7 linked regions of the Nothobranchius furzeri genome follow. The protein of the gene in region 7 purifies or fractionates together with the protein of the main gene of each other region. This does not show direct contact. Links are inferred from orthologs where the notes say so. Each region holds a gene or a part of one and is shown on either strand. Other genes may lie near its edges.

Region 1 (3,985 bases), on a different chromosome or scaffold from region 7:
GCGAGCAGCCCCTTCTTCTCTGCGATGCAAAAAATGACCAGAAATGTACATATAGCACCCTACTGCCACCTACTGGAGACTTTTTATAACAATATGTGGTAATAACAAAAAAACAAAAATAAATAAATAAAATAAAATAAAACTTTAAATGTAATGAAAAGTCCATTGTTTTAGGATGTGGAATAGTTTTTGAGTTGGCAATGTTTTTATACTCCTAAAATTGTTTTTAAAGTATTATAAATGCATCATAATCATTCAAATATAACACAGGTTTATAAATAACTATCAAAAATACCCTTAAACCAGACTGAATAAATATATTATTTTGCAAAGCAAACGTTTGGTCTAGTTCACTAATAAGATATAAACAGCACGTATACGTCGCATTTCAGTCAACTTTGAAGACATATTGACAATAATATTGTGTGTTTCTCAATTACAACTCTTTTCGTAATCATTCTGATTATTATGGCAAAGTTTTACATTAATAAATTTAAGTTCAGGTGCACTAAACCATGCATTGTTGCTTTTGAAAACAAATTCAAACAACACATTTAATGTGTTCAATCTTCTGAAAACCCCAGAGCAAATAAAAATCTAGAGGTCTGTATGAGGTTAATCCGCTTTCAGCAGTCCTTTACAGCGTTTGAATTATAAAAATAAAAAAATGTCGATAAATGCATTTAAGTGTATTTTTGTATTAAAAATTTACATGTATTTCTTCATTTGTTTTTAATTATTGATTTTAATTTATGTACGGTGTGCTTCTGATTATTGTCTAACATGAAAACTTTTGTTATTTTTGTTCATTTTTGTTTTGCTTTTGATGTTACCTATAGGCTGCTGTAAAGCACATTAAGTTACCTTTGTATAGGAAATGTGCTATACAAATAAAGCTGTCTTGTCTTGTCTTGGCGGTGTGCAAATTAATTAATTTAATGATTAATATGTCCTTTGGCTGAAATAAAGAATATTTGAAAGAGAAAAAACACGTCTAAAACTCCACGATGCAGAAACTGCTTTAATAAATAAGCTAGATTCGGAAAATGGGCTGCATGGTGGCGCAGTTGTTAGCACTGTTGCCTCGCAGCACGAAGGTTGCAGGTTCGAAACTCGGCTGCGGCCTTTCTGCGTGTTGCGTGTTCTCCCCATTCATGCGTGGGTTTCCTCCGGGTACTCCTGTTTCCCCCACAGATCAAAACATGCCCCATACGTTATAAATTGCAAGTCACTTTGGATAAAAGCCTCTGCCAAATAAATAAACATAAACATAAAATAAAAAAGCGTATGCACGAAAAAACAAAAACAATACAAAGTTGATGGAAGTTAATAGAAATTATTCCTTCAAATGCCATTTTATTTTATGTTGAATTAAGTTGTATTTTGTTTGCGGTTCTGCTTCTGAGTTTTTACATGAAAAAGTAAAAGATGGTTGCAAAGTAATTTAGATGTTTTACAAGCCGCATTTGCACTCAGGCAATCTCATTAGATAGCTGCAGGGTCCTAATTGGCAACACCCTTCCAAGATGGCAGCGAACGGTAGCAGCACGGGTAGCAAGTCCAGCAGCAGCGCCGGCGGAAAACAGTCCGGACTTTCAGCTGAACAGGTACTCTCAATTATATAAAAAGGTTTCATTTGTCGTTACAATTATTTCTGTTGTTGTTTGGCTCAGTTTGGTAAAGCAGAACTAAAAGTATAGCCCCTAGCTAGTCTAAGCTAACATTAGCATTCCTGTCGCGATCATCTGGCTCAAAACCCAAATTTGGACATCGGGAACCGTTAGGAGTCTAATAAGGACATTATGAGAGTTTACATCAAACTCTTACTTCTAACAATTTTTACGTTAGTCTATGTATTTACGGTTTTGAAATAATGTGTTTGGTTTGGTGTGACTAAGCATAAAGCTATTTTTGTCCACCTAACCCTAATAAATTATTACTCAGACCATATTAAACAAATCACTGCTGTAATGTCTGTAATACAGTGCACTGTAGTCCGTAATATATCCTTTAACAACAATAATGGCAACATTAGAGTCGAGCAATACCTTCAAATATGTGTCAAAACCTTTATTGATCAGGTTTTACAAAAATAATAATAAAATGTAAATATTGCCATATTGTATCATAACCTTTTTGTTATTTTCTTACATATAAAGTCTATGACTCTGCGTAAATGGTGATTAAAACCATCAAATAAACAAAGTTTATGTCCACTACTTCTAAAAAGTTGTAGATTAAATCTGATAATAAAATTAAACCTTTACCATTAATGAGTTGCTGCATTATGTACATTTATTTAATAATCTTTTAAACAAAATTGTAATATGCTAATTACCAGTTATGACTTTAAGAGTTTGGTTTCAGTAGACAACTAAGGAGTAGCAGCATCTGTTTTTTATTTATTTATTATACTTAATAAAAAAATGATCAAATTCCATTTGTTTTCAGGTGGTAGCAACATTTCAGAGGATGCGTCAGGAGCAGCGTAGTATGGCTTCGAAAGCTGCTGAGCTGGAGATGGATGTCAACGAGCACAGGTTGGTGGAGCATCATCTACATTTATGTTCTAGACACAAATGTTTCACAAGATTTTGTAGGGGAAACAATCCAAAAGACAGACCGTTTAATACCTTTGCTATTTCTTTTCATATTTAGTTTAGTAATTGAGACCCTAAAGGAAGTGGATCCTTCCAGGAAATGCTTTCGTCTGGTTGGAGGAGTGTTGGTGGAAAGGACAGTAAAAGAAGTTCTACCAGCCTTAGAAAACAACAAAGAAAAGGTAATGTTATTTATTTCGGTCACAGGAATGATCAGGAGAATAAACTGAGACATTTTAAATCACTTATTTAACACCAAAATAACAATAAGTGTACATCGAGTTAATCTACATAATTTCACAAGAAAGAGTTTTGTTTATAGGTTTTGAAGTCAAAAATAAACGTTTAGGTGTCAACTGCAGGATGTTTCGTTTGTCTGATTTCTCATCCATCTTCCTCTGTTCTAATAGATTTCCAAAATAATCGAGACCATCAACACACAGATGCAGGCAAAAGGACAGGAGCTCACAGAGTACAGAGAACGTTACAATATCCGGCTGGTTGGAGAGGGTGAAGGAGAGGCGCAGGGCCAGTCGGCAGCAAACTCGCAAGACAATGAAGGAGGAGGATCCAAAAGTGGAGCAGGAGTTCTGGTCTCATAATGCTTTGAGGATGGACAGGGACAGCAGTGCCCTGTTATTTCTGCAGCACTGAAGAAGAAATGAAAACTAGCTCAAGTCAAGGAATTTAGGTGGAAAACTGAACTTTTCATAATGTTCCTTTTAGTTTTCTTGTTTAACTGTAATTTCCTGGAAGTTGTAATAATCATGGTCATCTGCTTCTCTGTTCAGTTGTTTATGTCCTCATTAAGGTCATTTGCCTTGCAGATGTTTTTTAAAATGCTGTCATACATTCAGCAAATAAATTAAAATGCCATAAAAAGGATTTTGAAGTTGCTGACATAAGTAAAAACATTTATCTTTCTCATCTAGCATATAAATCCTGTTGCACTGGGATGAAATTTTTAAAGACATTAAAAAAAAGTTAATGTCAGAATTAGATCCTTTTGCATTGTCATTAAGCATACACAATCGAAATTTATTGGTATGTCAGCTTTGAAAACGCACAAAGCTTTAAAAATGATGTACATTTTTGCGAAAAGGATGTAAAGGACTGAAAAACAACAAATAATTAAACGTGACTCATGAACAGGAGCCAGTACACAAAAGGAAAAATGGAGAAAAGGAAGAGGTTTCTCATGCTCACCAGATTATGTCATTGCGGCAGAGCCTGCCTCAACTCGACAGTACAGTGAGCTCTCACTCGGTTTTTACACTGCACACACTTCCAAAGCTTTACGGAAATAGTGCTTATGAACGCTTTCAAAGTAAAAGCCAGTCTCTGAAACGTGTTTTCAGACTTATTTCAAACGAACCATTCTAGAA
Region 2 (4,006 bases), on a different chromosome or scaffold from region 7:
TTGAGTAAAGAGCTCTACTGTCTTGACGTGCACACACACACACACACACACACACACACACACACACACACACACACACACACACACACACACTCTTCTGGTCCTTTCATTAAGTCCAGGATTCAATCACTTCTCAGCATCCTTCTCAAGTTATTTTGGAGAGCTGTTGTCCCCAGTAGAAGCACAAATGCATGTTTGTCTTTCTTTGTTCGTGAGGGCTTCCATTGACTTCCATTCATTTTTGTGACTGCATTACGCCTAACCCATACCTGCACAGTAATGATAACCAATGCAGATCTATTCCTAACTAACTTTAACTAAAACCTGATTCACACCAAACCTTAAAACCAACTGGTGGACTTTAAGGAGTACTGGGGACTGGTGTTCGGACAGAACACCATACATATCAGAGCAGCATGAATGCAGTTTATGCACGATCATCTAAACCTCCTCTGCATTCTGAGCCAGCTCAGTGGCCTAGTGGTAGAATGTCCACCCTGAGACTGGGAGATCAGGGTTCGATTCCTGGTCGGGTCATACCAAAGACTTAGAAAAAAATGGGACCCAATGCCTCCCTGCTTGACACTCAGCATTAAGGAGTTGGATTGGGGGTTTCAACCACCAAATGGTTCCCGAGCGCAGCTGTGTCTGCAGCTCACTGCTCCCCCAGGGGATGGGTCACATCAGTGTGTGTGACAACTAATGGGACTTTAACTTGACTTTAACTTTAGCAGCCGTCAGTTCAGCATACAGACAGCAAAGTATGAGAAAAAGTGAGTCATTTATATTTTTAATGATAACTGAGTGGCTGCACATTCACTGGTGTTTTGCAGTTTATTTCCAGTTGTGTTCATGTTTTACCATCCACACCAACAGACTGATAAATGTGTATCACAATTTTTTATTTTTATTTTACCACCTTTTATCTCTAAAAAAAATAAAAATAAAATTAGACAATAAAGTAGGGATGCACAGATATGATACTGGTATCGATACCAGTACCAGTATCGTATCGGTAAAAGTTAACTGATACCAGGAACCGATACCAATGCAGTTGCTTGAAAATGGCTTCCCTGTAACTTGTCATTTCTGTTCACCTAATATTTTAGTTTTGTGATGATTTCCATTCATATATTTTACTTTTTATCTACCTCACAGTCGTCTCCTGTTGAAAGCAGAGAAGAAAATACAATCTGTATTCCAAATCATTGCATTTTTTCGTGTGGTAGAAGTATCGGTATTGGTAATCGGCATCGGCGAGTACTCAGATCCAAGTATCGGTATCGTATCGGTTTGGAAAAAAGTGGTATCATTGCATTCCTACAATAGAGCTTTAAAAAATATACAAGTCTGGGTGTCATACGTTTTTTAAAAGTGTATGGTGATCTGATGGGTAAACTGGCCCAGCAAGATGTCATTCAGTTGTTAAATTCTAAGTGTTTAGTGATCTCATGAGTAAACTGGGCCATCAGGGTGTCATATGGTTGTTCTAAACAAAGTGTATGGTGATCTAATTGGTAGAACAAAAAACAAGTTAAAAAATCACAAATCTATTAAGTGTCAAAGTTAAGGGAAAAAACACCTTTTCAGATTACATTTTCAAAAAATACTTTAATCACAGTGTAATATAGTTCAGGATTACATTAGAATAAAGTAGAAAACCATTCCAAACCTTTTCTAGAGACATTCTTGTGAGTTTTGGATGCTTACCAGTGCTGAATCCGACTTTCACAGTCTTTCACCACCTGTTTTAGGACAGATCATTTTAGTTTGTTTACAAATTCAGGTCAACACAATCTGATGTCAGGATAATACATATATTTATTCCTACTGGGAATTTTCAATTCATAAACGCCCTCAATTGTAATAAATAGGTTAATAAAGTTGTGTTGGCAAAGGGAAATTAAATGTATATAATTATTAGTATTGTATTATTAAATAATACAAATGCTCCCCCCCCCCCCCCCCCAAAAAAAACTGTCAAAAACAAAATAAAAGGCTAAGCTTTTGCTTTCTCTTCAACAAAACAGCTGGCTCACGTCTGAACTTTAGTTTTAGTCAAGCTCTAATAACTTCCGGTGACCTTTTGAGTTGTTATAGGGGGCATAGGACTTCCCGATTTGCATTAGACAATAATCTAAATGAATCAAAGCAAAATCTTAAAACTTCCACACAAGTGAAACTTGTGTGCAAGTAAACAAAATTAGCCAAACACACCTCCAGGCTTAAATTTGAACGTAAGAAACTTCTAGAAGGAAGCTAAAGGTAACCTAAAAACACAGATGAGACATGTGACGTAACCAGTGTCGTGCAGAGGCGTCTGTGCGCAGAAGAAATAAGCTCTTCAGCTGACCCACTCGTGGTTTAAACACTCCCAAATGATCCAACCGCGTGGCTCGGCTGGCCTCGCGGGTTCTGCCCACCACCTAAACACCAAAACTTACCTTCTCGTGTTCCTGTCGGAGCCTCGCAACTCCACCGAGACGCTCCAAATTCATTTTCCCACCTTCAGTCATCGTCAATTCACATGCAAAACGGTCAATCTGTGCGTTTTGTGACCCACAAAAACAAAGCTCAGGGGTTGTTGTGAGTCCTAAAGAAGTGTTTATGAATCCAGCAGACGCTATTCCTGAGACCCGTTCTGCACGTATTCATCAAAGGGGCAGTGATGGTTGTCCACACTCTCGGAGGTGATTTCATCTCACACACTCACTTCAGAATTTCTGCATTATTCCCAAATAAATCCACGGTTTCGGTATCCCAAAGATTAGCAGATTCTCCTCGTCACTTTCGCTGCGCCATGCACTCTACAGCAACACGGAAGAAGTTTCAGGCAGACTTCCGGTTAATATTTCCAAAATAAAACACTTCAATTCAAGTTTATTTAAATAGCGACAAGAGTCGTCTCAAGGCACTTCACATCATAAACATTCCAATTCATTAAGCCAATCAGAAAAAAGTTTCCTATATAAGGAACCCAGCAAATTGCATCGTACATCATTCCTCATACTAAGCAAGCATGCAGCGACAGTGGAGAAGAAAACAGTGGAAAGACACCTCCAGAGGATCCTGGCTCAGTATCAGCAGCCATCTGCCACGACTCACTCAAGAAGCGGTCTGTTGGAATAATATAATATAATATAATATAATATAATATAATATAATATAATATAATATAATATAATATAATATAATTCCATGGAGTTTGTTCTTATACAGATATATTTAATTCATTTTTTATATGATGGGCTACATTTAAACCACAAAACATTCAATAAGCTCATCGTCTCACTATAAAACTAGAAAAGTTTAAACCAGCTAGTGTTTTTATGGGAAAATGGGAACCTCACCCTTCCTACTTGCAGTTTTACCAGCTTTACAGCTTTGAAAAAATAAAACTACTCACTAAACTTTGAGATGAATGTCTCACACCAGAAAATTCTTCAACACACACACACACACACACACACACACACACACACACACACACACACACACACACACACACACACACACACACACACACATATATATAATTTTATTTTATTAAAATACCTTGTTATTGTATTTATGTTTTTATTTCATTTTTATTAAGTGTACACATTTAAAATGGAAATGTACAATCAGAATACACATTCATTCATGAATGTGTCTGGTTATAAAAGCAGCATCTACAATAACAGCAAAAATGTATGGTGTGCTTATGGGATGTAAAAAGATTGTGAATACCTCAGGTGTTCTTTTATTGAGGCATACAGGTATAGCTTAAGAAAAAAGAGGTCTGAGGCCATCAGGAAAATGAAGATGGTAGAAATACTTTATTGTTTCATGGCTAGTCAAATAAAAACAGGTTTCAGCCCCATTGACCTTGGTCAGGGAAGGGATTTGCATGCAGATGTATTTTAATCTTATTTACAATTTTAGAAATGAAACTGACCCCAACTGTCCTAGTCCTCTAATCATGAGAACTCATATTTCTACTCTTATGGGTCAAAAGTATCAGTAC
Region 3 (4,252 bases), on a different chromosome or scaffold from region 7:
TCCGCTAAAGGTTACTTTTCAATGAAAGTTTCAAAGACATTAGTCATGATATTATTGTAAGTATTTTATTGACACCAAGAATAAAGAACCGCAATGTTATGATGCCATGAAGATATTATTACTGCTTTTGGGGTTACATTAAACCTGTTCTAGAATTTGACTGGACCAGGTAAATAAGGAAATAGTCATCTTAAAATTCAACATGTAAAAAAGGCGAATTTTGTTATAACATGAATAATGAGCAAGTCTCCGCCTCAAGGCCATTTATTGCCCTCTAAATTAAATTTGGTTGAAACTTTGTGAGGGGAACTGCTTTTTGTTGGTTACTTATCTGACTGGGTACAGTTTCTGTGAATAATTTTCCTTTTACATGGGCTATGAATTCTGATCTATCACATACTGCTCCAATAAAACATCAACATGAATAAGAAACAAAGTACAGATAGAGAAAAAAGTAGTATAACAATTAAACTAAATATAAATGTATACTTTATCTTATTAAAAACAAAATATATCAAACCAAGGGTGACCCAACTTTTTAAGAGGAGGACCAAAATTATCTTTGTGGGCCACAAAATTAGATTTATGTTTTATTCTTTAAATGCAAAAATTGTTTTCTTTTTATTTGTTTTGGCAGCCTGCTGGAGGGAAAACCCAGAGCAGACTAGAAATACAATTTGGGACAGCACAAATCATCTCTAAAGTCTCCCTCAGAAAACAATTCGAACATTCCTGAATTAAACCCATAATGATATTTATTAGGGAGTTATGTCTTAGGAGAGCCTGTTAAAGGCTATTAATGCTAATGTTGCGCTATCCTTCAAACTGGGTTTAGAGAGGCCAAATTCACAACACAACCCTGTCAGGCAAGGTTTGGTTTCCCCACACACGTGTCATCGTGTATGTTTACACTTTTAAACAGCAAACAACAAAAAGGCAGGGCTTCTGGGATGCTGTCCACTCCACAGAGGTGGCCGCATTAAGCTAACAGGTGTTTGTAAATGGTAATAGTTACAGGGGTTCGTCATACCTGAAATGTATGGAACCTGAAACATATCTAGCTTTTTCTTTAACAATCTGGTGTGTGCTGAATGCACGAAAGGCTCTTTTAAGACCAGGGGAGCTCCGTGCAGTAGAATTAGTTGCTATGCTACCACAATGAATTATCGCGCAACTACACGTGCACAAAAAAGTCAGCAGGTAACCAAAATGGATGAAACGGTTCACTTGAACATTTTAAACTACTTGATTCACAACGATGGTGTTTACTGAATTAGAAACGTGCTATTACCTCACACATCTCACACTGAAGCTTACCGTAGTAGTAGACCACTGATAGGCTCCGCCCTCAAAAGCGTCTTGCGTCGCCCTTGCGTCTCTGCGATCCGCCCAGGTTTTTTTGTCAGCCAATCCGCTGCCAGACAGGAAGCGAGCTGCTGTTTAAAAATATTGGCGCTGGTGGTGATAGCGATTAACAGCTGCGCATTGTTAGCAAGTTGATTATTTTAATACGAGGTGCCGCTTTAATTAGCAACAAAACAGTACTGTGAAATGAGCGTTAACTGTTAGCTACAAACGGTAAGACAACATTTTCACCCGCAGTGCATTTGAGATAGAGACAAACAATGTGAACGTACCGTTGGGAATGACAGCTAGCTGGCTAGTTAGCATATGACGCTCCTCTGGTTAACGTTTTTATGTGTGTCCTATGCAAGCGTGTGCTTCGCTAATTTGCTTGTACGTTAGTATTGACAAATGTTACTTAATGGATAATAACACCAACCATTAGCACGTTTTGCAACTTTATGTTCTCATATATAAAGTAACATTTAATGTGTTTTAACGTTTTTAAATGGCACACCGGCCCGGAAAGGGAACCACCGAACCAGACAGTCGTCTACGTTTTATACAAGACAATTATTTGTCGTTTAAAGAGTATTAAAGTTGCATTAAACTACACCAATAACACAAAACAACATGGGATATTCTAAGGAAAAAATATACTGCTAGCAATAAATCAAACAATAGATTTGAGTATTGGAGTGTATTACAGAAAACAAATATACCTTAGTCAATTTACAATTTCACAAGGAGCTCCTTTAATGAGAATAATATTTATCACGATTATTTTGAACGATGTTCACTTCACATTTGGGTTGTGTTTTGCTTCAACTTATTAATGAGTTTAGCTTAAATGAATGGGAACAAAGCAGCAATCTTGCAAAGTAAATTTAGCCAATTAATAAAATATTAGTGGCGTTAGTTTGTGTTTAATTCTCTAGCAGCTTAAAATTCTTTTTTGTGTAAAAACATAAAACTAATAACCAAGTGAGACAGTAATTTAGAAAAATTAAATCAACTATTATGCTTTTTCTGTTTTGACCAAAGTAGATCAGTAATGCACAGTGCATTTATTCTGACCTCAGTAAATGTCAATAGCATGCATACATTGTATCCTCATTGTTTCACCTTTGAAATAATTTAATGCTGATTATTATACGTGCAATAAATAATACTTTGTCACTAAGTTAAACACTTTAATACACTTATATTTTGTATAAATGATTGGGATTCTTTATAGTCCTTGTGTTCTATAAATATCAGGCGTATTGGTGGCTTTGTGACCTGTTTGTTGCAGATTGCCTCTTTCAGGTATTATTTATTTACACACACACACACACACATATACATATATATATATATATATAGGGTTTTTGACTTTGCAGTTAGAATCCATGGTCAGCGTTAGTCATATAATCAAATGATTGCTACGGGCAAATTTGGAAGTGTTTCTGCTTAGTGAAGTAACATTTTATTTTGTTACAGCAACACTTGGATCACTGCCGAGGAACCACAATGTCAAATGATGTTTGTAGCCATGTAAAGGTGGTGGTTCGGGTGAGACCAACCAACGAGAGCGAGAGACTTGAAAACTGTCGAAATGTGGTCCAAGTTGTCGACAACCACATGCTAATATTTGACCCCAAAGAAGAGGACTTAACGTGTTTTGGGTCACAAAGAGTGCGTAACAGAAACGTCAACAAGAGGGCTAACAAAGATTTAAAATTTGTTTTCGACCATGTCTTTGATGAAAACTCCACTCAAGTGGATGTTTTTGAGAGCACCACCAAAGGTGTGTTGGACAGTGTGATGAACGGATTCAACTGCACAGGTAAAATATGACATCATTGAGTTTACAGATTGTTGCTGCTTTATGTAGTTGCATATTTTTTGTCACTCAGTGCATAGCTTTAGTAATGATCTTTTAAAAAGCAACTGTAGACTTTCTGTATTAGGAAGACCAAAATACTCTATTTTAGCTCTTACAACTAAAGATAAATTAAAACATTTATGGATACAATTATAAACATTTTTATATTTATGTCCTTTTTAAAATGTCTCAAGGTTTCCACATGTTTAATAAATAAAAGCTAACTTTTAATCCCTGCTGTTATTATAATTGTAAAGTTTCTCCTGAATAAAGTTGTGATTTCCTTAACATAATTGCCACCAGTATAAATTATCCCCTCCTTAAAATACTAAAGGCGTTGTTTTATCTGCCTAATGCTCAGACAAGGGTTGATTTCAGGGTATCCGCGGGTCCTTAAGTCTTAAAAAGTCTTAAATTTACTTTTCCAAATTTAAGGCCTTGAAAATCCTTAAAAATTACAAATAATCCTTAAATACAGTTTCCAAAGGTCTTAAATTACCAAAGACCCAATAAACTAGATTATTTTATTCATTTTTGTGAATTTCTAGTTAGTCTTCAGCATTTTTTGTGTATGATGTTGGCGTAAGCGGAACCGTACATATTCAGTTGGTTGTGAAAGGGGGCTATTTTTAGATGAGCACATTAGCTGGTTAAGCTAGTGGGAGCTTGTGCCGTGGAGAAGTGCAAGTTTAATGGTAACTGGATGATTAATCCCACGTTTGCGACATGGTTAGCACCGGTCCCAGGCATTAGCTGGAAATTATAGCAGAAATTAATTTAAAAAAAAAAAGCTTAAATTTGGTCAAAATGGCCTTAAAAAAGGTCTTAAAGTCTTAAATTTGGCTCCCATCAACCTGCAGATGCCCTGGATTTATCCATTTATATTATGTACAAACAATAATCTAAATTGGAATATTAAATTAGCAGTTTTCTGTTATTCATTTATGATTTTTGCAGATTGCATGATTTTTCTCCAATTTCCTAGTTAGGATTCTTCCTACGTTAGTGTTCACTTATTATTGTTTGCACAGATTTCTTTAT
Region 4 (3,186 bases), on a different chromosome or scaffold from region 7:
ATTATTCTACAGGTTATTGTTCAGCCTTCTGACGCTCACGTGTCTGACTGCTGATGTGTGTTTTTATTTCTGCAGTAAGACAAACTCACCTCACACCGTCCACAGTTTGTTCTATGAACAGAGCTTCTATGAAATCCACCGTGTTGACGTATTTAACAAGTTTCCTCTACGCTGCAGGAATTAAAGTTTACATTACGGAGTAAAAGTTCGGCAGACACACACACAGATGGTGTGATCAGCTCTGAAAAGCGTTGATCACAATTTGCAGATCACGTTTATTTTTCACAGAGATCGGCCGCGGATTCCTCTTCCGTCGGCATTCTAGGAATCGAAATAAAAAAACGTTGAGCGATTACACCGGTTCCAATCGATGCCCAACCCTACAACGGTAATCTCACAACTTTTTAGATTTAGTTATAATTGTGAGAATTTAAAAAATCAGGTCACGCAACAAGTGTCAAGTGTTTTATGTGAGACATATTAAAGAAACCAAGACAGTATGTGCTTTTTTGATTTTATTCCAAAAAATTTAAAGAACAAAAAAAAAAAAAGTAAAATTTAGCATTTATTTGAACAGAACTACAACGGTCAGTGACAAGAACTCAACGGAAACACGCCCGATCTGTGGAAGGGTCGGTAAATCTTATTTCATGAACTTGTGATGCTGGTCTTGGAGGATTTTTGCTGAAGACTTGGCGTCGTAGAACAGCTCGTTAATTTCCTCCACCTGCTCCCTCTCCACGGTTTCTTTTCCCTGAACGCGGCCCAGAAGGCTGGCTGGCGTCAGCAGCTGGACGGCGTACCTGGGAGCAAATGAGAAATATTATAAAAGTAGAAACAAACTGGGAGAAGATTCTAAGATTTGAAAAACGTGCATCATGGCGGTTATTTAGACCAGCTCCAGAACAAAGAAGGTACCTGAGGGTAGTCTTGGTTCCGATCTCGGCCAGATGTGTCAGAGCCTCCTCGCTGACGTTGATCCCCTCCGTCTGAGCTCGGATCTTAATAATCTGACAACAGCAGCCTGATTAGAGCCACCGAGCTTATGACAAGCCACCAATCCAACAGCGACTCCCAGACTCACCTGCTTCATTTCCTGCGGCGTGTACATCATGGTACGGATGATCATGACTCTGTCCAGCAGGTCCAGAGGAATTCCGTGTGGAGAGCTGATGTCCTCCGTCCCCCTGGTAAAGAAATAAAAAGATTATAATCTGTAACCGTTGTTCACGTTTACATCCGCTCCTTTGACCCGTCTCACCTGATCAAACAGTTCCCTCTGTTGGAGGCAAACACAACGATGGGGGCGATGCTGCTCTCCAGGGCGCGGTGGAGATACGTGAAGCACTCAATGTCCAGCATGTGCACCTCGTCCACGAACAACACCCCGGGTACCAGCTCAGCCACGCCCTGGTCTATGTAGCGGTTGACTACCTTGTTGATCTCAGTGCGGAGCTTGTCTGGAGACAGAACCGAATGTCAGACGCCGTGATGTTCAGCTCAGGTGAACGGTCCGATTTCGCCATCCTACCTGTGATCTCTGTCTTTTTGGGCTTCATCAGCTGTCCCATCATGGAGAGAATATCCTGACCTCCCTGGGACCAGACAGTGTGATTACTCTAATATTACTTATCATTATTATTAAGGTTATAATATTAGAGCAGCCATGTACCTGCGGCCGAGCGTTCGCAACATCCAGATCGTGCAGCGTGACGTCCTGGACAATCTCCTTCTTCTTGTGGACGTCTCCTTTAGGCAGTGGAACATACTCTTCTGCTTCCAGGTCAAACTCTGTTGCAAACGTGTCACAGCGGCCTTGTCTCTGCAAAAACAACCTCATTAACCAAAAATCTTAACTCGCATCACATCAGTGAAACAAAAGGCAGGAGGCCGAGCGGGCGTGTGCTCCTGCTGCCAGCTCTCTGCAGAAGGATGAAAGGGACTGAGGAGGCAGCTCATCAGATCGCTGTCAACAGTAACAAATGTGTCAGCCAGCCCTCCTCCGCTGCCGTCTGACTACAGCCGCCCTGAGCGCCTCGGCCCACCTGCATCGATTAAAAGATTCGTCGTCACGGCCTGTCAACACGGGCCACAAGCCCTGCTGCATGACGGGAGATGTACAGATAAACGGAGCATGAATCGTTGTGAGAACGAGAGACGTTCATTCCAGAGAACAGAAGAACTGGAGAAGGATGAAAGCAGAATGCCACCATGAAGGACTGAAGAGGTCAAAAACCCTCACGTTTGATCTAATAGGAATAATTAGATTATTTACACTCAGTTTTTATGATGATCTTTTTGTCTGAGATGATCAAAGTATTTCCTGCCATTACTTTACTTTTAGTTCTCATTGTGGACAGAAAAGAAATAGAATAATAATCACAACTTTTTACAGCAAAAACCAGTGGGGTAATAGACTTCTGTTACTGTGCTGTAGTGGGGAGAAGGCATCACGTGATGCTTTTTAATAAATCAAAAAGTGCCTCTTTTATGCAAAGGGTTGATTTTTAAAAAGTGGGCAACTTAAAGTAACACTAACGAGTTTATTAAACTTGAAACTAGAACTTTAACATTGATCTCAGTGATTGTTGAGTTAGAAACTTGTCCAGTTTCATATTAGACACCACTCTGCTGCCCTCGGCTAACCAGAAACCACACTAGATAGTTTTGTGGAGCGGGTAGGTGTCCTAGGGAGCGCTCTTTACCTGCTTTATGGCTGTTAGCTGTAATGCTAGCGATTAGCATTTTCAGTTCGCCGATCATCAATAAAAAGTACAAGAAGAAGAGAAGAAGTTTGTTTTTTTCTGTTGGCATCATGGTGGAGCCTGGAAGTAAAAGTAAGAGAGTAATGTCGTTGAAGGTGAAGCAATGAGCTACAACCAGAGTGAACATCGGCATGGCCTATGCTAGTTTGAGGGAGCTAAAGGAAGCTACAGGATCACGGAATGATGGTGACCTGGCTCTGTTGTTACTGGACTTGTAAGTAATAATATTTTTCTCCAACAGTGTGGATCTTTATACTTTATGGTTTATTTTAGCATTAGTTGGCTCATGCTAGTGTTAGCTCATTGTTAGCGCTAGCTGCAGCAGGGTTGTTTATGACTTTTCAACCAGTAGAGCGAGGGAGCAGGAAACTGCCTGGTGTTACTTTAAGGAGGAAGTCCTCAATGTGAGATTACAGTGTTT
Region 5 (3,500 bases), on a different chromosome or scaffold from region 7:
ACACCACAGTCTGCCTATATTCAACAACAAGGTAAATATGGATTAAAATTCTAGAACCCCTTTAAAGAAGAGCAGTTGTCAGAAAGTGTTAGCTCATAAACCTGGTGTACTCATGATACTCCGTTTTGATCAATAACAAAAGAGTTTGATTGGGACTCAGTTCCAAAACTTAAAATCAGATTAGATCTTTGCCGTTAGAATCTAAAATATTGTACTCACATTAATTTAAAGTGAATTTTGGGCATCCACTGTGCTCTTATTTTCTGTATTGTTTGTGATGATGATCCTCAGCATAAATATTTATTTTATGTTGTTTGTCCCCTTTGTGTGTCAGCCAGTTTCAGTTGTGGCCTTGGCTAACCCAGTGACCCTAATTGACTATTGATGCCTTTGGCTCAAAGTTGCAGCACTCTGTTGTGTTACTCTAGTTTTTTTATTCGCCATATATGGATCTTTCTGTTGCAACTGTGGCAACACTTCAAGCATTTGCAGGATGATTAAAAATAGGCAAGTCCTTTCCTGTCCATGTCTGAAAATACTGAAAAAGAAAGAAACAAGTATTTAAAATCCAGCCAAATTGCTCTTGTCATCACTTATTTGCACCAGTAAGTGAGCTCACGCTGAGCTGTATGTTTGTCTACGTGTGCACACAGACGTTTCTCACGGTTTGAGGAAGTGCAGAGGCGTTATAGAAATTGCAGTGCTGGAGTACGTAGGCAGATCTTTCTTTCTTTTGCACACAAATGCACACTCTGTTAATGATGATACAGAATCTGTCTTGAGTTATAGACATTCTGGGGAAAGAAACCCTGTTTTTTTCTCAGACCTCTTATCTTTTTATGTCCTCATAATTCAGTAGCCTGATTATTTTAAGCCTTTAGTGATTGCATAGCTGCACATACTGTACAGCTTGTCCCTTTAACTGCCAGCTAATGTGGACTTTGGACCTTGACTCTCCCTGCAAGGAAGTGGAAGGAAAGGCATTCCCAGAAGGTCTAATGATATATTGTGATGTCATAGACCGAGGTTGACCAACTGGGTATGTGTTTATGTGGTGTACTGCTTTAACCCTGCAGATCAAGAATGGTTTGGGTTGAACTTCTAGAACCTTTACAATTATTTGTAGAGGTGTCCCAAACTTCTACAAACAATATTTCTGTCATTGTTTTTTAATTGTATATTCTCTCCAAACATTTTGTTATGAACACCTGTAAATGTGGTTTTATCTGTAGGAGACAAAGATGGCAGCAAGGTAACGACAGTCGTGGCCACCCCAGGCCAAGGCCCCGACCGGCCACAGGAGGTGAGCTACACGGACACCAAGGTCATCGGCAACGGGTCGTTCGGTGTCGTCTACCAAGCTAAGCTCTGCGACTCCGGAGAACTAGTGGCGATCAAAAAGGTCCTACAAGACAAGAGATTTAAGGTAATAGATGCGTGAAAGACATGTGCGTTCACTAATATACACTCAAATGGCTTCATTTTCATCACCTTTTCAAACAACGTAACCAACCATGAAAGAAATTAACCTCAGTAATGGATGTAACTGAGTAACTGAGTGAGATGTAACTGGAGCGATCTATCTCACGAACAGGGAGATCAGAAAAGCTGGGGAACGAAAGAAAACAAATGAAAATGTGCATTCAACACGACCCTACATGAAAGAGTATGTATGTGTGTGTATTCATAAACGGAGGCCCCTAACTTCCTTTTTACAAATAAATTAGAGCGTATTAATGCTTTCATCAGGTTTAATTCAGGTGACACCTAGGATACGTTATTTATCTCTCCAAGTTGGACCCTGCTGCTGTCATCCTACTCCTGTGCTATCAACAGATTTGACTGATGAGTTGATGTTTCTTTGCTGAACAACTCTTGGCTTAGCGCCTGCATGAGCGTGTTTACATGGACATAAGTCTCCAATTAGAGGGTGATACTGGTTTTAATTGTTCTGGAACTATGACGTGACAAGGAGCCCAGGCTATGCTTACAAATATTTGCTGTGTGCAATAAATGCTAAAATTGCAGATTACTTGCATATGTCTCCTGCAACCAGTTATAGATTTAAATGGGTCAACCTTTTGGGCATCTGCACTGTTATATCAGACACACATCAACTATGATTAATACCATCTAATACAAAAGCCCTGCAGTAACCATAAGGAAGTTGTTTTGTTGTCATTTCTGTAATTCAGCAGAGCCTAAACCTGCAGCCTGGAAAAATATCTAGTTAATCAACATTTTCATTCAAAAGTAAACTCTGGAACCTTGCAAAAACTATTAGTTATTCTAAGGTTGTTTAAGCTGCTTTGGTTTTTGCATCCAACAGTTTTGAGGGTTTTTGAAGTTTTTTATTAGAATCATTTTATTCTAAATACAAAAAGCTATTTCTGTCCATCTCAAGTATCATCTACCTAGAGTTCTGAATAGATTCAGCTGATAAAGTACTTTCTAGGCAATGATGAAAATTATTTTGTGGTGATTGTAATAGAGCACATTTTCCTCTCGACAGGGTCTCTTTAGTAAAACTCTTTACATCATCAAAGAACAGCATGACCGTTTTCATTGGAAACTTGATGTAAGAAACAGTTTCCGTCTGGTATTTTAAAGTCATCACACCAAGACCACCGTCAAGCCTGCTTTATGAAATTAAAATAGTTTTTGTAGACACTTCTGTCAAATCTTAAAAACATCAGTTTAGTATTTAGAGTATGCTTCTGGAATGACTATGGATTTTGAAATGAAACTAAATATGAATGGAAATAGACTTGAGGTATGCCTATTTTTGTTAGTCATCCTTTTGCAATTGCAATAAAGCATAATCATTTATTGCATACTGAAAGTTTTAATAAAGACAAGGTTCACTTGTTTTTTCAGTGTGTCTGCAGTGTTTTCTACTATAAATGAGTCGATCTCTATAGGGATAAAGCTCTGGCGCTCCTGTTTCAGGAAGTCAAAGGTAGCCAGAGCAGAGGGCAGCAGAAGATGAAAGGATTTGGAGTCTTACTGATATCCAGACATCTCACCTCTGATTGGCTAACAGCAATGCTGCTCTACTGTAGGGTTGTCACGGTATGAAAATTTAACTTCACGGTTATTGTGACCAAAATTATCACGGTTTTCGGTATTATCGCGGTATTTTTTTTAAACGTGTTACATTTTCAGACAACTAAATAAACCCTGTATATCAGGAAAATATTGTCCTCAGTTTGTGTCTAAATTTTGCCTAAAATTTGTTATTTTATAATTATGTTGTTTATTTGTTTACATTTTTCCCCTTTAGTCTTTAAAATACCAATATTTGCCCATAACTTCTTATTTTTTGTCTGTTTGATGTCATCATTTTAAAAATATTAGATCAGATGATACTCCGTACTCAAGTAGCCTTCTACTCAGTTACTTTTTTTACCCTTACTTGAGTAATAAACCCTATAGAGCTCCGGGAGTTAACGTCACTTCTCCCGGCATGCAACAGTTCAAATCGAAACGGCGCCATATTG
Region 6 (3,500 bases), on a different chromosome or scaffold from region 7:
TCTGTCTATACACCTTATAAGACAATTTAGGTGATGGCATGTTGTTTTTCTGCTACTGAACTGTTTTCTAATAATGTTGTGTTAAATAAAGTGAAGGAAGGAGAGAAATAACATTTCCCTAGCAGTTTTTAAAAATTTCCCCATGTAATCCGATTAATCGATTAATCGTGTCGAGACCCCATCCGATTAATCGATTATCCAAATAATCGTTTGTTGCAGCCCTATTTCCAACAGAAACTCAATTTGAACCAAGAGGGGTTATAACCAGTCTGCTGCACCAGAAGCTAAAGCAACATTAAAACAGGCTACTTAAGCCTTTCTGGTTTAATTACACGAGCAAAAGATTTATGAATCAGCTGATGTTTACAAAACACAAGCTTTGTTGTTTTGGCAAAGCTGGAAGAATAGTTTTAATGAACACATTTTTCTGTAACTAAAGTTAAAAGCTTTGATGCACCATAACAAGACAGGAGAGTGAGATCATACCTGAACGGTGTACTGAGAACAGTGTTTGGTGTTTGGACCTGCTGCCTCTGAGGCGTCACGCCGCTGAAGTCACTCTCGTGCAGCGGGGTGTTGAGACCCCCCTTCAGCGGCGTGTCTATGTTGGTCAGAGCCATCAGGTTCTGGGCTTCCTACAGAACAGAAGCACAAAAACACATGAATATAAACAGAGAAGAAAGCTTCTGCTTGGTTAATTTAAATGAGAGAAAATAAAAAATACAAGTAAATAAAGACCACAAAACAACTGATTTGTACAAAATACCAGAAAACTTAGATGAAGTGAGAAAGTCATTGTGTTTGTGGTCAACCTGCAGGATCCTGTCCTGTGCAGCAGGGGTGCGTGGGGTTCGTAGTCCAGTTGTCATGTTGTTGGTGATGCTGTACTCAGACAGGAGGGTGGAGGAAGCAGAGTTCCCACCTTCGCTTTCCTCAGCAGCCTGGCGGGCGACCTCACTTGCCACTCCCAGTTTCACGACCTCCTCTAACTCCGCATCACTGATCTGAAACCAGAGGAAGGACAGACAAACATCGCTGATCTGTTAGGACCAGATGCATCCGAGCTCAGACACTGCTGTGATCCTGGAGCATACCTGTGGGGCGGGTAACACCAGTTTGGAGCGCTTCTTGGTGAACTCTGCCACTCCGCTAGTCTGCAGGATAGCTGATGGCAGATCGCTCTCTTTCTTCTTCTTCATCTTCTGTTTATCTTTCTTTCGGTCCCTCTCCTCAGACTCGCTACATGTAAACAACTGATTAAGTGAGAACTCCAGATTCAGTTGATGCATAAAAGCAGAGTGTGTGTTGTTACTGACTTGCGTAGCTCCCCGTCCAAGTGCTGCTGCCTGAGTCGTTTAAAGTGTGGCTCCAGGGCATCGTACTGCTCCATGCTGGTGTCATAGAAACCCTAACAGGAAACAAAAATAATTTACAATCCAACTCACAGTCTGACGTTGGTGACACTGGGCTGTAGCTTAAATAATGAATGAATAAATATTAGCATCAATAGTTACTGGTGCAGGTTTCTTTTCAAAGGGGATTTCAGCATTGTAGTCCACTCCTCTCTTCTTCTTTCTCTTCTTCTGAACGTGGATTCCTGCTGCTCTCAGCTCTCTGCGTTTCTGCAGAGCAGCCAGGCGCCTGCAGCAGAATGAGAGTAAAACAAAGGACAAATATTTGTTTGTTATGCACTGATGGATTTCAGGGCTACCCCTGAATGGATGTTAATGGATGGAATTGGCCATACCTGGCTTCCTCCAGCTGTTTCTCTCTGGCCTTCCTCTTGGCTTTTTTGCCCTGCGTGTTGGCCAGACGAGCTCTGGCTTCTGACAACATCTCCAGCTCATCTACAAAGACAAAAACACAGTCGTGTGTATGTTTCTATTGCTGCTAATCGGACCCACTTATTAGCACAGAAACCAACGTTCCTAAAAGAGATGAGAGGAATAATGCTGCAGAACAAAAACTTATTTTGTGCTTGTGAAAGAATGAAGTGTGTGATTTCACCTTCATCCATGTCCACGGGGTCAGGTCTGGCAGGTTTAGTCTCAGGGTTTGGGTCGATCTCTCCTGGTTTCAGCTTCCTGGGATCATCTCCCACCTCTTCCTCGTTGTCTCTCTGTGCTGCTTTATCTCTAAATGAAGACAAAAGCACATCTGTCACCCTGACCTGTAAATTGCCATAAATGCAAAGTTCCTCTCTGGTAGCAAAGAGCAAATGAGTGTAAAAATTGAAACTGTACAGCAGGTATTCATAGTGCTCTAGACACTGGGCAGCAGTGCGCCCAATGATGGGAGCAATGGTCCTCCACTGAGTCGGCATCAGCTTGGCCAAGTGAAGCAACTTCTCCTCCTCTTCTCTGGACCACTCTGTTTTTTTGATACTGGGGTCCAACCACTCGTACCTGCAAACAGAAACACCGTCGACGAGTGATTCAGGTAGTCGGACTGAACACACCTACAACAGAAAAGTATGTTTATGTTTACTTATTTGGCAGACGCCTTTATCCAAAACGACGTACAACGTATAACCTATAGGGCATGTTGTGATGTGTGGGGGAACCGGAGTACCCGGAGGAAACCCACGCATGCATGATGAGAACATGCAACTCCACGCAAAAAGGTCACAGCCGAGTTTCGAACCTGCAACCTTCTTGCTGCGAGGCAACAGTGCTAACAACTGCATCACCATGCAGCCCAAAAAAGTAGTTAACCTTTGTAATGGTCGGTGTCGTGTCCCGGTAGAAAGGCTACAAACTCACCATCTGGCTTTACACTGTTTGGCAGATTTGCGGTGAAGCAGGGAGGCGATACGAGACCACTGGTTCTTCCCATATTTCATCACCGCTGCCTTGAGGATCTCATCCTGAAAAAATTAGGGTAAAAAAAGCAAACAGGCAGAAAGACAAAGTTAGAACTTACATATATTAAAACTAACAAATAATTAACATAAAACATAATAATCATATTAAAGTCATTAAGTTGACTCAGAGCTGCAGCTGTTAGCCTGCACCCACCCCCCAGAGTTCTGGACTTTCTCACGTGGGTCGGAGCATTATCCTCTGTTTCTGCAGTTTTTACTTGGATGACACAGTGAAGAAAACACAGAAAATGTTCGCTATATAAATGCAAGCTCGTGTGTTTTTCTGCTTAGTGTGTAATCTGTGATCAGAAACAGCAGAGACGTGTTCTGACTAGAGACTACTTTTAATCTGTATGGTTCATTTCCACGTAAAATCTAACATCAGCTAGCCTGGCAAGCCAGACTAAATAAATGTATTATTTAGTCTGGCCATGCTCCATTGACGGCTCTCGGTTGTGGGGCGGGTTCTACCGTTGTCTTTCAAATGATCTCCGCATTCCACTGGACAATGAATGTGACATACTCTTGTTTCACTCTGTTGCATCATCCCACCCACCAGGCATATCGAGTGCCCTGATTGGCCCACAAAGCGGATAAAGCTCTGTGATTTGTTCACTAAGCAGATAGAGCACTATGA
Region 7 (2,958 bases):
AAACCACAACAGAAACCAACCACTGAGCGACAGATATAACAAAGTGATAAGCATGATGGCGTATTCAAATAAATGGTTACTTTTTATTCATCTTCAGCTTCAAATAAACTAAAAAAAAGAAAGAGGAAAATAAAACCATACTCATTTCAGTTATCTACAAAAATAAAACAAAAATTAGGTTGAAGAAAAGAGCAACTCTACATCACATCCATGTCATCTCAAACGATTTTCAAGTTGGAAGAAGGAAAAAAAAATAAGTCATCTTATTGTGAATTCATCAAACTCGAGCATTAACCTGCACTTCTATAGATCCACCTGTGCCGTTACCTTCCAGCTGTGCAACCTGATCTATGATCTCCCCACACACACACACACACACACACACCCATCAAAGACATAAATGAATACGTGAAACATGATTTACAAAAGCATGAAAGTAATGCTGAACAGTGCCTGGCCTTAACATAATCAGTCAGCGCTGTGCTCTCCCACCCCTGCAGCCAGGCTAGGATTTACATGATGAGTGGGACAAACCCGTCTCTGCAACCAACAGAAAGACCAAGAGGAAGGGAAATAAAACGTACAGAATACAGCAACTCCCTTTGTGTCGTTCTCACATCTCCCTCTCACACACACACGTAAATAACCAGATAAACGTTTGAACTTTGTTTTAGAAACAAACAAAATATATATAACACACGAATGAACATTGGACACTGGTCGTCTTTGTTGCCATTCGGTAACTAAGAGAAACAAGATTAGGAGGTAGAAAAAGAAAAAGAAAGTTGGGCCAACAGAGGGTGAAAAGGTTGTAGGAAGGGAACTCAGCAGGTGTTATTTCTTGGCCTTAGCGGCCTTGGCTGAATTTCTTGGAGGAGTGACCGGTCTTCCTAATCCCACTCCTCCTCCTCCTCCGAAAGAATACAATTTCTTATCTGCTGGCTTCAGAATCTGCAAGACAGATGAAGGAATGATCCACATTAAAATGGCAAACACAATTTCTTCTAATTTAAAGTCCCAATTTGAATATTTGTCAAGTTCAATATGTTAAACATCCGTTTGACAAGGAGCTAGGAAACACACACACACACACACACACAAATGATACGAAGATCACTCAGCTAAGCTACATGGAGCAGTAACAAACAGGCCGTGTGTTTACCCACCTGAAAGGAGCACATGAGCGTCTCGTCCACACTCATCATGGCACCAGCATTGTCAAACTCTCCACAGTAGTTGGGCGCTGAGAACAGAGTGACGAGTTGCCTCTTTGCGAAAAACTCATAACCATCTTCCACGACCTTAGCACAGAAATAAAAGTGTCAGAACAAAGACTAGTAGGGTTTCTCAGGTCCAGGTGAGAACGATTAAACATAATCAGGGAAAAAGATTTTCCTCCCCGACACGTTTGTGAAATGTTTGAGTTGCAGTTCTTACATTACAGTTGTACTTGAGCTAAATTAGGAACTACCGTACGTAACCTTTGTGTGCCCCTGTGAAGGGTGCATCCCAGTAAAAACACGAGGAACATAAAAGTGACTCAAGTCCGAATGAATCAGTGCTAGAAGAATGAAGAAGCCACTAGAGTCCTCAAAGGATTAAATTTACATAGATGACGCAATATCACAGCGTGTTGACTCATGTCCCAATAACACCCCCACAACAAGCAGAGATCAAAGTTAACAGGAGCAGAGCTTTCCTGGCGAGTTACACAAAACCACTCAAACATCACCTGGTGCGCCCTGCATATTAGGTCCATGTCATGTTTGTGCAAAAATTTGGCCACCACATCTGCTCCGAATGTGAAGGAGACGCCACGGTCGTTTTCGCCCCAACCCAGGACGTCTTTGTCTGGATCTGCCCACAGCAGGTCACACAACAAACCCTGGTCAGGCACGTCTGTGGGTCGCATTACTCTGCGGATCTGCTCCATGGACTGGAGGTCCGGAGAGAGGCCTAAAGACGACGCAGAGAGAACATCAGGTTTTGTTAGTCGTTCATATTTCATCATCCGTAAAGCACACGTTCACTAGCTCTACCTCCGTGACAGCAGAAGATTTTCTCATCTACAATGGCAGCCACAGGTAAACAGTTGAAGCAGTCTGTGAAGGTCTTCCACAGCTTTATGTTATACCGTCGCTTACCTACCAGCAAAGAAAAAGAAACATTTGCAGCATTTGTACAACCAACTCTGACTTGTTCATTATTCACAGACATCTTTTGCACTTACACTCATCATAAAAACCATAGATTCGATTAATAGAGGCGCACTCGTGATTGCCACGCAGCAGGAAAAAGTTCTCTGGGTATTTGATCTTATAAGCTAGAAGCAGACAGATGGTCTCCAGGGACTGCTTCCCTCTGTCCACGTAGTCCCCCAGGAACAGGTAGTTGCTTTCAGGAGGGAAGCCTCCGTATTCAAAGAGCCGGAGGAGATCATAGTACTGACCATGGACATCACCTGCAGGGGGCAGCAAAGAAACACCATGTCAGCGTTACTGTCATTTATGAGGAAGAATCCTATTTTTAACTAGCCAGCCTTTAAGTGGACCGTACCAATTCTGAAACTCTCATTCCTTTTATTAATAGAAAAAGATAATTTAGAGTCTTAGTGATATAATCTCCCTAAAATATTCTTTTGGTTTTTGTATTGTAATTGATCGACTTGCTATTTAGACAATTATGAAAAGAAAAGCTGATGAAGTTCACACAATAAAACTATTTTAAAGCTTTAATAATAAGGTCATTAATGGACGTGTTGTGCAAGACGAACTTGTCCTTGTCGCCAGATTAGCTGTGAACTTTGGGTGTGATAACCTACATTGTGGTTGTCTGATCAAGCAGAGTTTGGGCTTCGAGTTGCTCCAGAGGACTTTAGGTGACAAATACTATGACAAATGGTAGGATGTGTAATATGCTGAAACCCAAACAAAAGGCAGCCATTGTGTAAACCCAGGA

The links.
Region 1: the proteins of ppp1caa (region 7) and pfdn2 purify together in Homo sapiens (affinity purification with mass spectrometry; 3 studies listed by BioGRID and IntAct, with this or other methods). This does not show direct contact. The link is inferred for Nothobranchius furzeri from reciprocal best matches to the Homo sapiens genes PPP1CA and PFDN2.
Region 2: the proteins of ppp1caa (region 7) and uri1 purify together in Homo sapiens (affinity purification with mass spectrometry; 7 studies listed by BioGRID and IntAct, counting the BioPlex papers as one, with this or other methods). This does not show direct contact. The link is inferred for Nothobranchius furzeri from reciprocal best matches to the Homo sapiens genes PPP1CA and URI1.
Region 3: the proteins of ppp1caa (region 7) and kif18a purify together in Homo sapiens (affinity purification with mass spectrometry; 3 studies listed by BioGRID and IntAct, counting the BioPlex papers as one, with this or other methods). This does not show direct contact. The link is inferred for Nothobranchius furzeri from reciprocal best matches to the Homo sapiens genes PPP1CA and KIF18A.
Region 4: the proteins of ppp1caa (region 7) and ruvbl1 purify together in Homo sapiens (affinity purification with mass spectrometry; 4 studies listed by BioGRID and IntAct, counting the BioPlex papers as one, with this or other methods). This does not show direct contact. The link is inferred for Nothobranchius furzeri from reciprocal best matches to the Homo sapiens genes PPP1CA and RUVBL1.
Region 5: the proteins of ppp1caa (region 7) and gsk3ba purify together in Homo sapiens (affinity purification with mass spectrometry; 4 studies listed by BioGRID and IntAct, with this or other methods). This does not show direct contact. The link is inferred for Nothobranchius furzeri from reciprocal best matches to the Homo sapiens genes PPP1CA and GSK3B.
Region 6: the proteins of ppp1caa (region 7) and cdc5l purify together in Homo sapiens (affinity purification with mass spectrometry; 3 studies listed by BioGRID and IntAct, with this or other methods). This does not show direct contact. The link is inferred for Nothobranchius furzeri from reciprocal best matches to the Homo sapiens genes PPP1CA and CDC5L.

What each region holds. Positions count from the first base shown.
Region 1 is NC_091742.1:74,820,900-74,824,884, forward strand, and holds pfdn2 (prefoldin subunit 2), read left to right. Parts: upstream 1-1,304; 5' UTR 1,305-1,526; coding exon 1,527-1,607; intron 1,608-2,451; coding exon 2,452-2,540; intron 2,541-2,658; coding exon 2,659-2,782; intron 2,783-3,010; coding exon 3,011-3,202; 3' UTR 3,203-3,485; downstream 3,486-3,985. UniProt on the Homo sapiens protein: Binds specifically to cytosolic chaperonin (c-CPN) and transfers target proteins to it. Binds to nascent polypeptide chain and promotes folding in an environment in which there are many competing pathways for nonnative proteins.
Region 2 is NC_091744.1:78,624,188-78,628,193, forward strand, and holds the start of uri1 (unconventional prefoldin RPB5 interactor 1), read right to left. Parts: upstream 2,801-4,006; 5' UTR 2,517-2,800; coding exon 2,445-2,516; intron 1,746-2,444; coding exon 1,711-1,745; intron 1-1,710. UniProt on the Homo sapiens protein: Involved in gene transcription regulation. Acts as a transcriptional repressor in concert with the corepressor UXT to regulate androgen receptor (AR) transcription.
Region 3 is NC_091749.1:64,375,188-64,379,439, forward strand, and holds the start of kif18a (kinesin-like protein KIF18A), read left to right. Parts: upstream 1-1,452; 5' UTR 1,453-1,578; intron 1,579-2,826; 5' UTR 2,827-2,856; coding exon 2,857-3,172; intron 3,173-4,252.
Region 4 is NC_091743.1:48,436,484-48,439,669, reverse strand, and holds the end of ruvbl1 (ruvB-like 1), read right to left. Parts: intron 1,823-3,186; coding exon 1,673-1,822; intron 1,596-1,672; coding exon 1,532-1,595; intron 1,461-1,531; coding exon 1,262-1,460; intron 1,188-1,261; coding exon 1,085-1,187; intron 1,011-1,084; coding exon 919-1,010; intron 804-918; coding exon 644-803; 3' UTR 501-643; downstream 1-500. UniProt on the Homo sapiens protein: Possesses single-stranded DNA-stimulated ATPase and ATP-dependent DNA helicase (3' to 5') activity; hexamerization is thought to be critical for ATP hydrolysis and adjacent subunits in the ring-like structure contribute to the ATPase activity.
Region 5 is NC_091754.1:24,463,244-24,466,743, forward strand, and holds part of gsk3ba (glycogen synthase kinase-3 beta), read left to right. Parts: intron 1-1,232; coding exon 1,233-1,426; intron 1,427-3,500. UniProt on the Homo sapiens protein: Constitutively active protein kinase that acts as a negative regulator in the hormonal control of glucose homeostasis, Wnt signaling and regulation of transcription factors and microtubules, by phosphorylating and inactivating glycogen synthase (GYS1 or GYS2), EIF2B, CTNNB1/beta-catenin, APC, AXIN1, DPYSL2/CRMP2, JUN, NFATC1/NFATC, MAPT/TAU and MACF1.
Region 6 is NC_091752.1:40,109,975-40,113,474, reverse strand, and holds part of cdc5l (cell division cycle 5-like protein), read right to left. Parts: intron 2,867-3,500; coding exon 2,763-2,866; intron 2,406-2,762; coding exon 2,244-2,405; intron 2,136-2,243; coding exon 2,008-2,135; intron 1,848-2,007; coding exon 1,748-1,847; intron 1,642-1,747; coding exon 1,515-1,641; intron 1,409-1,514; coding exon 1,317-1,408; intron 1,240-1,316; coding exon 1,095-1,239; intron 1,005-1,094; coding exon 813-1,004; intron 636-812; coding exon 487-635; intron 1-486.
Region 7 is NC_091745.1:8,622,297-8,625,254, forward strand, and holds the end of ppp1caa (protein phosphatase 1, catalytic subunit, alpha isozyme a), read right to left. Parts: intron 2,462-2,958; coding exon 2,231-2,461; intron 2,145-2,230; coding exon 2,040-2,144; intron 1,957-2,039; coding exon 1,733-1,956; intron 1,302-1,732; coding exon 1,167-1,301; intron 952-1,166; coding exon 835-951; 3' UTR 501-834; downstream 1-500. UniProt on the Homo sapiens protein: Protein phosphatase that associates with over 200 regulatory proteins to form highly specific holoenzymes which dephosphorylate hundreds of biological targets.